Linked DNA regions of Saccharomyces cerevisiae S288C. The protein of the gene in region 1 interacts with the protein of each later gene in a biochemical or structural test. Each region holds a gene or a part of one and is shown on either strand. Other genes may lie near its edges.

Region 1 (7,328 bases):
AATGGTCCAAGCGTCTAACTTTTAAAGAGTACATTCTAAAAGTAAGAGACGAAGACAACATTATAATAATTTTCTCAAGACATATATGTTTCACCGGCACGTTTTGTTTTGTCCCCTTTTATTTTGAGCCTGAATACTATGCTTTATAAAACTTTAATGCGCTCAACAAGTGCACCTTCCAACGGAAAAAAAGAAATTCAACAGGGAGCGATGCCATCATCACATGCACGTTTTCAAGTATTTATAAGACTTGCTACTTGCTCGTCCATTCATGACTTTAATGAGGTTCTAATTTATTGGTGCAACTCTTCAAACTAGCTGCCCAATCAGTGCTGGAATGAGTGCCAAGACAAGCGACAAACCCTGTCAATCTCCTGAAAAACAAAAATTAAGTGCTTGAGAAGACCTTCAGAAGAGTTGCATAGATAGGATGGGTGAGCGCAATTACTAGTTACGCAGTAAGTAGGTTATATGGCTGCTGGAGGGGCAGTACTGATTTAATCACAATCCGGATTAAACTTCCTCCTGAAAAAAAAAAAACTACATCAAGTCAAAAGATTTTCATTCACTCTTTGGAAGGCTGTGTGGCATTCTAACCTTTATTTTTTTATCACCATTCTCGAATTTTCGTGGTTCGCTTTCTTAGCGCCGTTATTCTCTCTTCTTGTCCACGTCAAAGGGAGTATGCGTAACCCCTTTCAAGGTTGAACGAAAAAAAAAAAAATATGTCCTTCAAAATTTTTTTTGATTTAAAACTAAAAAACATTCCCTTGAAGCTTGTTATTCCGAAAGAAAGAATCTAAAATTGCAATTGGTAGTGAAAACAAATAAACAAAGACATAACCGCACTCCAATCATGTCCGAATATGCATCTAGTATTCACTCTCAAATGAAACAATTCGATACCGTATGTAAGATGGTTTTATTGGTTCCATCGTCATCATGGTTCAAACAGCCAAATGACCCGACACACGTAACCGAAGCAGTTATACTAACAAGAAAGCTAATTTTCACCCTCCTTGCTACATTTTTTTCTACAGAAGTACTCTGGTAATAGAATTTTACAGCAATTAGAAAATAAAACTAATTTGCCTAAATCTTATTTAGTTGCTGGTTTAGGTTTCGCTTATCTCCTTTTGATTTTTATTAACGTCGGAGGTGTAGGTGAAATTCTTTCCAATTTTGCTGGGTTTGTGTTGCCAGCATATTTATCGTTGGTTGCTTTGAAGACACCAACGTCCACCGATGACACACAACTCTTGACCTACTGGATTGTCTTTTCATTTTTGAGTGTCATTGAATTCTGGTCCAAGGCAATTCTATATTTGATTCCATTCTACTGGTTTTTGAAAACCGTTTTCTTAATCTACATTGCCTTGCCTCAAACTGGTGGCGCTAGAATGATCTATCAAAAGATCGTAGCCCCATTGACCGACAGATATATCCTAAGAGATGTTAGCAAGACAGAAAAGGATGAAATTAGAGCTTCCGTCAATGAGGCTTCTAAGGCTACAGGTGCTTCTGTTCATTAAGAGGCAACTCACCTATATCCTCAAATCAAACTCTCGTTTTTGTTCTCTTTGTTATCTATTCTATTGAGAGCATATAAGTACATATGTTATTAGTTGTTATATATCGCTACTTAACATATAAAATATTTTGGAGTCGTTTATGGTGTCCCAGAAGATAGCATTTCTATTCATCGTGTTGTGTCGTGACGTGTCTCTTGATATGCGCGACAGACCATCCAACGCAAGGTCATTAATCATGTTATGTTCTGTAATTTTAAAGGCATTTTTTATAGAGTTTCATCGAATTTGTGATCGAACTGTTCATTGGTGATAGATGAAGAGCCATTTAAATGAAAATCCAACTTAACTCTTAACTTCAGTTTCCCAGATCCAGAAATTTTCAATGACTGCTTGCAAATTTGGCTGGCGTTTATTGTGGAAGATGGATATAACTGGCCTAGTGTTAGCTTTTGAGCTTTAGGAACGGCACAGAAAGTTTTTAAGTCAGATATTAAAGACTTTGCCTGAAAATATAAATCCAAATGTGCTAATCCAGAGTTTGCAGAGAGCAAGGAAGCATATACATTCAGTGAGGAACTGTCATATATCTTGTTGGCATCCAATGGTAAGGTGACACCTGAGTTTGCCTCCACTGCCGACGAATGATTGATTGATTCTTCCTTGTTCGCATTTTTGGGCACCTGAGCAATGTCATTCTTCTCTCCAAAAATCTCTTCTAATATGTCAATTGGTTTCACATTGTCACCAGTAGAAGCCTTGCTTTCAGCCTTGCTATCCTCACCCAATAAATCTGACAGCAGATCAACTGGTTCGTTGGAGATAAGGTTTTTCGATAGAGCTTTTCCATTATCCTGTTCCTCGGTAATTTTTTCAAATTTAGGCATTGTTTCTAAAATGATCTTCTTCACAGAAATTGACTGATTGAAAAATATCTCGTATTGATTGCTTTTCATTTGCAGTGATAAATCAGTGGAATCCGTGTAGCTCAATATCAGTTGTCTTAGTTTTTCAATATTTTTCGCGTCATGGAACCTCACAGATAATTTTAATGCTGCTGTTAAAATGTAATTGATTATCTTCAGATTCGTTGCTGTGTAGAGTTCTTGCAAAGTTAGTAAGTAATCAGTAATAGATGACTCATTGATTATGTCTGCACCATTTTTATTGCCCTCGTTGAGTACTAAATCGCCATATTCGCCAATGCACCAAATCAAAACCAACTGCCAACCAATATTTTCCTCGGAAATCTCCGCTGATGTTCCATTTAGTGAAATTGTCAGCATTTTCCGTAAAAATTCAGATTTGTCGGATAACTGGCTCGTATTATTTATTATGATTAGAATATCATTAATTTTTTCATAGTTGATAAACGATCCCACTAATTTTAAGATATTAAAGAAAACATCTAATTTCCAGCTTTCATCTTTGACAACGCGGGTATCAAAAGTGTCAATTAAGTGATCTATAGTGTATATTATGAGATCTTTTGAATCTTCATCCTGTTTTGCCAAAAATTTCATCAATTCGTTAACCAATTCCACTAAATTTGAATCGTCCAAGATGGCGAAGCTCAACTCTAACGCTCTCATGCGGATCGACACATCGGTATCCTGCAGACAATGAGAAATGAATTTTCTATGCCTTTGTACTGCGGTAGGCTCTTGGGGAACAACTTTTAATAAGGTGTTTAATGAAACGTATTTAGTATTATTATCTTTTCCTGCAAGAAACTTGGCCAAGATGTTAATACCAAGGACACGTAGAGGCTGGTTCAAATCCAACGAAAAGATCGTCTTCACGGTCTCATAAAGAATGGCCTGTCCGCTGTTTTTCGTTGAATCCGTATTCGTCGCAATACGAGTCAATAAATCGCAGAAATTATCTTTGTAGTCCAAAACATTGTTCGAATTTAAGAGCTCACCAACTTGAAAGTATAGTTTTAAAGTGTAAATTATTTCACACTGCAGAAATGGGTCACAAATACCTTGGACATCATATCCAGGTTCAATATTTTTAGAATTCATATTTTCCAAACGAATGAAAAAATCACGCAAAAGTAAAGATAATGGAGACAAGATGTCATTGCTGTAATCAATACCGTCTTCATCTTCATCCTCATCTTTTTTTCTGTTCAATCCAATTAACAAAATAGATTGTATGATTTTCGTAACGCCTAAAAGTACACCGTGAGTACATATTGAATGACTAGACAATATCTTAGTAATGTCTTCGATGTTGAAGATTTCTAAAAGTGAAACGTCTTTGAAAATTAGTTTGGCAGCACATTGAAGCGCTTTTTTCAAGAGGAAAGGGTCTCTTGAATTTTTGATGATATTTTCGACGTCTGGGTATAAATCTCTGGCTAATTCAGGGGAGCTCAAAAAGCCTAATGAGGTTAGTGCAAGTGACACTGCATATTTGTTGGGATGATGCAAATCGTTGTTCAACATGTTCGTTAAGAGTGTCAATAAATCTTCAGATTCGTCCAACAATAAAGTTGCGGCCAGATAGCCTAATCTTTTATCGACAAAATCGTCAGAAGCAATTAAATTGATAGACTCCACCTGACCGAAATGTGTCTTTTCCCCTAGAATGTATAGATACAGAAGTTTCTGGATATTTACTCGCCTTTTTTCATGTGGTAGATGGTCATCTCTCAATTTTGTCCTAATTTTAGCAGATTGTTTCGTTATAATTGCCCTTTCATCTGCCAGTGTTTTGGCACCACGAACGTCTTTGATAAAGCTTCTCAACGAAGAGCCCATTATGGTGTTCAGGTCTTTCTCGTTGCTAAATCAAGATGGTCAATATTTCTTCTCCAATATTAGCAGTATAAAATCTCGAAAAAGTATGATTTAGTTGTAATTCTCATATGGCCAAGCCCACTAAATTCAGTGAATACAAACAGCTAAGGACGTCAAAACTCAGAGTCGGGTAATCTTCATTTGAATTTTTTTTCTCTTAAGGTAGATAACACCAAAGAAAAGCAATCAGTAGCAAAATATGGACTTTAACGCTGTCAGTTCCAATTGAGAAATATCGTAAAGAAAGTTAGTTGTTTTCACTCGCAACCTCTCTACCTTCGTGGCCTAAAATAGATTTAAATAATCGAATAAACGGTTTGTTCTTATATGTGATACCCTCTTTCACCACCTTCCTGTAGCCCCAGTTGGTATTACTTGTCCCAACCTCATTCCTCTTTCCATTATCAATTAATCGGTTTGTGTTGTTCGTAGCAGGACCACACTTCCGGAATTATATACATTTACATGTATATAGAGAAGAAAGCTTCGGCGGCTAAAGAATAGAACCATCTATTACCCGCTCGCCCGGTCGTTTGGATGCGTGGGTGGTATAGTTTCTTTTTTTTCATTTTAAGGGATACCGCTCCCCACGTACCCCACGACCAGCCCTAGTGGAATAAGAAATGCAAAATCCGGGGTTGGCGCAGCGATTCTGCACGGCCAAACCCTGGGCTTCTTTATTTTGTAGATCTGCCAAATGATGGCTATGCCTTACTCGGTATCACATGGAAAAGACCCCCGGCTTATTGAATCCCGTCTCCCGTTCCCTGCATAGTTGTCACGGTTTGGACTATATATATCGTCGTTTCTCTGTTTTATTTATTATGATGGCTCTCCAAGGGTAATCAGTCAGACTAGTAAGCAAAGTCAATCATGCAATCTACTGTCCCAATAGCAATTGCGAGCAACGGCAACAAGAGAGATGTCGTCCAGAACGTTTCTGCAGGCGACGAGGGTGATATATTGCAAAGGCTAGCCCGTAACAGAGAGATGATTTCTACCTCCCTCTCGCCACAAAAATCGTCAGGATTTAGTGGTAGAAGGAGGTCATCTAGTGTTAGGGACGCCCTTTCTTCTTTTTTTGGAACTGGTAATAGTCCAACATCTAGTATGGACGATTATTCCAATTTGATGAACCGTAACTATTCTACCGCATCAACTGCCATGTGTAGGGGGAACAGTTTTCCTTCAGATGTTGGCACTAAGGCTTACAATATTACGGGATCTTACCAACCGGATAGGCACAGGAATTCTGTTCCGTATACCACCATAGACCAGTTACACACAAGGCAAGACACCGGGTTGAGGAGAGAGTCAGATCCAGTCGCGGCAAAACAAATATCTAGTAATAATGATATTGTTAGGTCATTCATAACACATCATGCTAGTAATAGCACTATGTTTATTAATAGGGTGCTATCGGACTATTTAGCGGATCGTGGTTTCATCAAGCAAACACCGTTATATAATAAGAAAAGTGTGCTGGAAATTTCCATTGCAACAAGTGCAGAATCAGTTTTCTTGCCAACTACAAAAAGTGATGAAACAGAGTATCTATCACTGATTCATGGTTCTTTAAATCAGGCGCGAACACAGCCTGTCGGGTCCACTAACACTGCAGAAAGTGATTTCCTCCCTTCATGTCCTACGATGGACACTTTGAATGAAAACAATGATTTATCACTATTTCCGTTACATACACAGCGAACCAGCCCCTCTAATACAGCAAGGACAGGTAATGCTATGGATACAAGCAATTCTGATCGTGCTTCTCCGGCCTCGAACAATAACACAACAGATGCGGATTCCTTTGTTGCGAGTGGCAATAACAACCCTATGAATAATAACAATTCTCCCGCGAGAAACAGACATCCTAATTCTCACTCGCGTTCTCTTCCTAATGCTTGGAATAGCCAAATGCCTTCATTCAGCTTTGCATTGATATTTTCCCTGAATAAATCAACTACCCTTTCTGATATTAAAGTAGAACTCACTTCTAACGTGAGAGTGGTGTGGTTCAATGGTCTTCCCCCTACCAAGAATGTTAACGAGGAATGCTATAATATAGGTTCTTTGGACTGGACCTTAAATGCAGACAACTTTAATCTTTTCATTCCGCAAGGCGCAAAGTCTCCTCTTGATATCGTTGAAAATCATTCCAATAACAGGAAATTGAAAGTGCTCCAGAAATTATCGATGAGGAAACGCCGTTCTTTCTCGAATAAAGCAGTTCTTAGGGAAAATATATTAAACAATTTAAATGCCTCGAATTCTACGAACAAGTTAAATGCTGGTGTTTATGTCTTTACTATCCCCATAGTGCTTGCCAGTCGTATTCCTGAATCGCTTTACTACCCATCAGCGAGGGTATCCTACAGCTTAAGATTAGCGACAAAATTGAAGGATGAACATACACAGTTGGTTGCATCACGGCCACGTTCTTCTTCTATCTCTTCTCCTCAAAAACTGCGTTCATATTCCTGTTCTGATTCTTATGAATATTCTCAAATTGATGACACCATAGAAGGAGAAACCTACAATAACGACAAAAATTCTACTGGAAAAATCGCATTTCCCTCCTCATGGTTAAAAAGTGCGAAGGGGCGCTTAAAAAGGAATAATTCTAACGGAAGGTCAGATAATAATGGCGCATCTTCTAGTGGTTTAGCGATGCAACATGATTCTGAAGACACTATAAATTTACAGTACCCGCTTAATTTGGTGAGAACTCCGCCAGAAATCTCTGTCACTACAGCAAATAAGCCACTTTACATTAACAAGGTTTGGGAGAATTGTCTTTCTTATGAAATTTCATTCGCCCAAAAGTATGTGCCCTTGAATGGTGAAATTCCAATCACAATTAAAGTGGCACCTCTAGTAAAAAGTCTTAGTGTCAAGAGAATTCGTGTTAGTTGTAGAGAAAAAATCTCCTACAGGAGTAAAGACTATCAATATGATTTTGACCAGTTGGATCCATTGGCTTCAGATCCTT
Region 2 (4,853 bases), 570 kb from region 1:
ACCAACACGTCTTGACCAAAGTCAGAGAGTTGGACGATATTAGGAAGAATAGTCATGAGACGCCCGCTAAGAGCGCCGCCACCCTGATTCATAGTACTGAATTGCATAATAGAGTTGACTCCGTACTGGATGATGTCTTTCAATTGCTCTCGTTGTGTTTTTTAACTGTTGGGCTAAAAAATTCTGCACCTGCGACTTATGCATCGTTATCTACTGTGGAGAGTCTTTTGGAACATTTAAATGAATCAAACGTCTTCACCCATCACGATTTGAGTCCTATTAAGGAAAGGCTGGAAGAAATCAGCAAGATTGTCGAACAAAAAAACTCTAGTCCTGCGTACGATGAGGATGGAAATGATGACCGATTAAGGGAAATCGACAACGAAAGGAAAAAGAATAAAATTGAGGAAGACCTATTACTACGTGCTAAATTAAAGCATTGCAAGGACGAATATGATATATTGGAAGGCAAATTGGAGGAAATTGATCCGTCTTTGTCTACTGTAATGGAAAAGTTATTCCGAATTAGAAGAGGTTTATTGTCATTAGTTGCATCTGCTAAAAAAACAATGTCTAAATCTGATATTAATACCAACTCTTTATTGCAGGAACAAAATGATTTGCAAACGAACAATGAAAGCTTAACGGATGACAAACATTTAGTATCTCAAGAGTATGTCCATGAGAAATTATCAGTTTTGAAGAACGAATTAAGTGAATTAGAATCTAATCGTGACGATTCTGGTAAATTCAAGTCCTTGGAGTCTCATCAGGTGGCAGAAAAAGGCCAAAGTGTCCTTAATGGTTTATTGGATGATTGCCATGATTTAGTTAACGATTTATCACACCAAAAAAATGGCGGGTTGACTTTAGATCCATATTTACAGCCAATATATGAACAGCTGATTGATATAAAGACTACCTTAGAAAATTTAATGATCACAAGAAGATGGACTTTGAGAGAAACCGATTTATTTTCTTACCAAAAAAAATTGAACGAAATTGATAACAAAAGAATCAATGGTAAGTTTCCAACAAAATCTCAGGACTCAAAGGGGCAATCAATACTTTTATACCTGTTGCGTAGATGTTATGCCATAATTTATAAACTGTTGGAAAGTTCAGAGCCCGTATCTGAAGCGTTGCAGCCAATTCACAATCAACTATCTACAGTTCGTCGTTGCCTATTAGAATTGAAAAGAATGGGAGGTGTGAATAATGAAAGAGAGTTATACCCTTATCAAATGAAATTGGCTTCATTGGACAACCTGAGAACTGAAGGTATATTCTATGACTCTGATGGCAATATACCTGAAGGCCAAGGTATATTGAATGCTTTATTAGCAGAATGTTTTGATATCTTGCATGAATTAAAAGTGGAAGCCGAGGAAAAAGCACAGAACTCTACTTCAAGTGATGGTTCTGACGACGATGACAACGGAGAATCAGGCATAGACTCGAACTCAAACGACAGCGAGCCTGAATCTGAATATCAACAGGAATAGAGGAGAGTGTTTCTTTATCTTCCATTTCTCCCTATTTTCTTGGTAGAGGAAAACATTATAAACAATAAAATGAAATACAGAAAGAAAAAAAGTTATTCTCTTATGTCTATGTATATAACAAACCCTGAATGAGCATCTATATAAAAACAAAAATATATAAACAACTTTATGTCATTATCATAATTGTCAATGGGAGGGGGGAGAAAAAGAGGAATAAGGACATACGTACCCTGTGTCTTTGTCCATGCACCGTAGAAATTGCTTTTTTTATATATTTTTCAGACATTACGTCAGCCTTATTGTATAATCATCACCACTTTGCGTGATATATCTTACCCATGGGTAACTCTTATACTGCAATTTGGGTTCGTTAATTTTAAGATAACGTACTTGAATACCTGAAGTAGTAAAGTAGGGTATTTGAAATTTGATTTGGACAGGTCCCTTCAAGATTTCCGCGTTACTTTTTGGCATTGTTCTATTGCCATCCTCGTTATTTGATATTGAAGGCAGTCCCAATTCGGCAGACATTGAGTACTCTTTACCACCGGGAAAACTTCTTATTTTCCATAAGATTGCACTTTTTTCAGGGACATACTTTAGAGACCCGTGTGAATATTTAAAAGTCGGTGTATCCGCGTCGTCCGGGACCGGTATCAATATCTCTACATTAGTTGCAGTAGATTTTCTTTTAATTTGGGCCTTGGCCTTACAGTGAATTTCAATTCTAGAATTCGAATGAACTTGAACGTTTACATCACACCAAATTAACGGTTTTATCGTAGTAGATAGTCTGTAGTTCATTAAATCGAACTTTCCATCAGGAGGTATAAACGTTATAATTTTTTCATTCTCGAATTTGCTTAATCGGACACATTGATGAAATTTCAAATCTTCCAATTCAATATTAACTTTCTTCTTGTTTGTGGCCGATGATGATGTTATTGATGGTTTTTTATCAGTTTCTGTGTTATTATCGGATGTTGTCGCGCTCGCTGATGGGATATTTGTATCATCATCCAAATATTTGGAGAAAATGCCTTTATCATTAATACCTAATTTCAGATCAGGCATACCAGACAATTTTGAGTTAACCTTAACATCGCCGATAATTTCTGATCTCAAAACTTGACCTTTTTGAGTCATGAGCATATTAATAGATTCGACGATATCCAGAAAGGCTTCATTTTTCTTGTGAGTGATGCCTTCTGGCCTCCAACTGACTGAATTTGTTAGTGCGACGGGTGGTCTAGTAGCATTCCTCTTCTTCTTGGCGGATTTAACTAGTTTGAAGGATTTTTGTGTTATGTACTGTTTCAGCATCTTAGTTTCTGTGATCTGTGGTATACCATAATCCATCACTTCGTCCAGTAATTCATATATTATAACAAAATTATCTCTAATAGATTCTTCTTCAACGGTTTTTAAGTAGTCACTTAATACCTCCACTAATTTGTGCAAAAAAGTAAAAATGGCAGCCGCATTGGCACTAAGAGAAGTCACAATTGCCACCACGTATAGATCGTTATGCTGTATAAATAGATATTCCAGACCATTGTGGTTCAAACATGGAGGAATCAGATTTGATTGTTCCTCTAAATCCGAGAGTAATATAGGGAATTTGTCAATTGCAGAAAGCGGAATATCATCTCTATACCTTCTTGATAGGAGTGGTTTCCCATTATGATCGCAAAAATACACTGCAGAAGCCATTCTGTGTCCCTCCAAGTTCGTAATTTACAATTTTCAAAAATACTCCTATATTTAATTGTACGACTTAGTTTCTCTATATGCTTTTTTTTGTTCAGCCCACTTTCCGTTTAACTCTTAATTTTTCATCGTCTAGCAATATTTCAATACGTTCAATTAACATCGCTATCAACGACTTTCAAAGACTATTATCATAATTAGAGATACCCTTTCTCGCTTAGTTGAAGTTACGTCTAATGATGGCTATAGTATATCGAGCGTATTTTATACCATTGAAATATCTTCATCTTTATTACATAACTATTATAGATCCATAGCAGTCCTATTGATAGTATGCAGTAATTTTAGCGCATAGAAAACGTTTATATTGGGTCGAATGCTCAATTATTTTCAGATGGAGGAATACCTTGAAGAAAATATATATATATAAAGACGCACTATTCAAATAATCATCAGTGCCAACATTAACTGTTTCCCTAAGATGCGTTCAGTTGTGATTCTTTTTTTTTTATGTCGCAACTGTCTGTCGTAGTTCTGTCAGCTAATGTTACGAGAATGTCCAACTGCAGTGTTAGGTTTCTGAAAGATGAGAAAGTTTCTGCCGGATAAGTTATCAACGAAATTATGGTGAATACTTGAGGTATGTGACTAGGATGGTAGCGCCGCTAGAACGCCAAAATCAGAACGAAGATTTTGGTTTCTGCCGAACAATTTTTACTATATTAATAAAAATGAAGGAACATTCTTAAATTATTGACACCTATTTTTGCATAATTCATTATTTCTACGTATAACTTTTTGTATATTTTGTAAAAATCGATGTGTCTATTCATTCATATTCTAGAGCGGCGGTCCAGAAGTTAGCTTCCAATTCACAAACTTCAGCATATATTGTGACCAGTGTATCAAGTTTTTCTGGAGGGTATGTTTCCAAGATGTGATTCAACAGCTTTTCGCCTTCAAGCATAGCTTCGTGGCACCATGACGATGAGTAAGTTTCACACCATTCACGGTAAACGGAGCCTTCTGCTGCAGTTACTTCATCCTTGATCTTGGTCAAAGCGTGAACATAGCCCATTAAGCAAGGATTAAGAGCTATAACTAACTCCTGCCAGTTACCTCTTCTGGAAACATCATTAAAGTAACGACAGTAAGCCCTTAATGCAGGACCTCTTTGAATCTTTTGTAAGTAGTCGGGATCCTTAATTCCAAATTCCTCCCTTAATCTCCTTTCATGTTGGCAAAGCCCATTACGAACGCATTCGACAATAACTAGCTCTTTCTCCAGGTCTTCAAGACACGGGGATTTACTACCCGCGATGCAGGAAATCCTGGCATAATTGACTAAGTACAGGTAATCTTGTTCGATAAAAAATTGGAACTTCTTAGGCTCTAAGGAACCGTCTGCTACTTTTCTAACAAAATCATGGTTCACATAGGAGTCCCAGTGGGGCTTAACTTTAGGGTGATTTATCAGATATTTATAGAAACTTCCTCCAGGGATTTTGTTAAGAGAACTTTTGACTGGCTTTTTGTGTACGGCATCTGATGCAGTGAAACATTCGTCACTGAGCATTTTTTCTAATGGAATTTCGATGGCGTAGACATGATTAATTGGCCCGTTGTCCTTAACAGTCT

What was found. Proteins that work in one complex are often made in the same cells at the same time.
Region 2: the proteins of APL4 (region 1) and APM1 form a complex in vitro, tested with the Saccharomyces cerevisiae proteins (one study listed by BioGRID).

What each region holds. Positions count from the first base shown.
Region 1 is NC_001148.4:622,671-629,998, forward strand, and holds APL4 (AP-1 complex subunit gamma), read right to left. Parts: upstream 4,298-7,328; coding exon 1,799-4,297; downstream 1-1,798. Other genes in the region: YOP1 (Yop1p), read left to right, coding at 857-907, 1,041-1,532; CSR2 (Csr2p), read left to right, coding at 5,210-7,328. UniProt on the Saccharomyces cerevisiae protein: Adaptins are components of the adapter complexes which link clathrin to receptors in coated vesicles. Clathrin-associated protein complexes are believed to interact with the cytoplasmic tails of membrane proteins, leading to their selection and concentration.
Region 2 is NC_001148.4:49,454-54,306, forward strand, and holds APM1 (Apm1p), read right to left. Parts: upstream 3,219-4,853; coding exon 1,791-3,218; downstream 1-1,790. Other genes in the region: CUB1 (Cub1p), read left to right, coding at 1-1,505; THI21 (bifunctional hydroxymethylpyrimidine kinase/phosphomethylpyrimidine kinase), read right to left, coding at 4,045-4,853. UniProt on the Saccharomyces cerevisiae protein: Component of the adaptor complexes which link clathrin to receptors in coated vesicles. Clathrin-associated protein complexes are believed to interact with the cytoplasmic tails of membrane proteins, leading to their selection and concentration.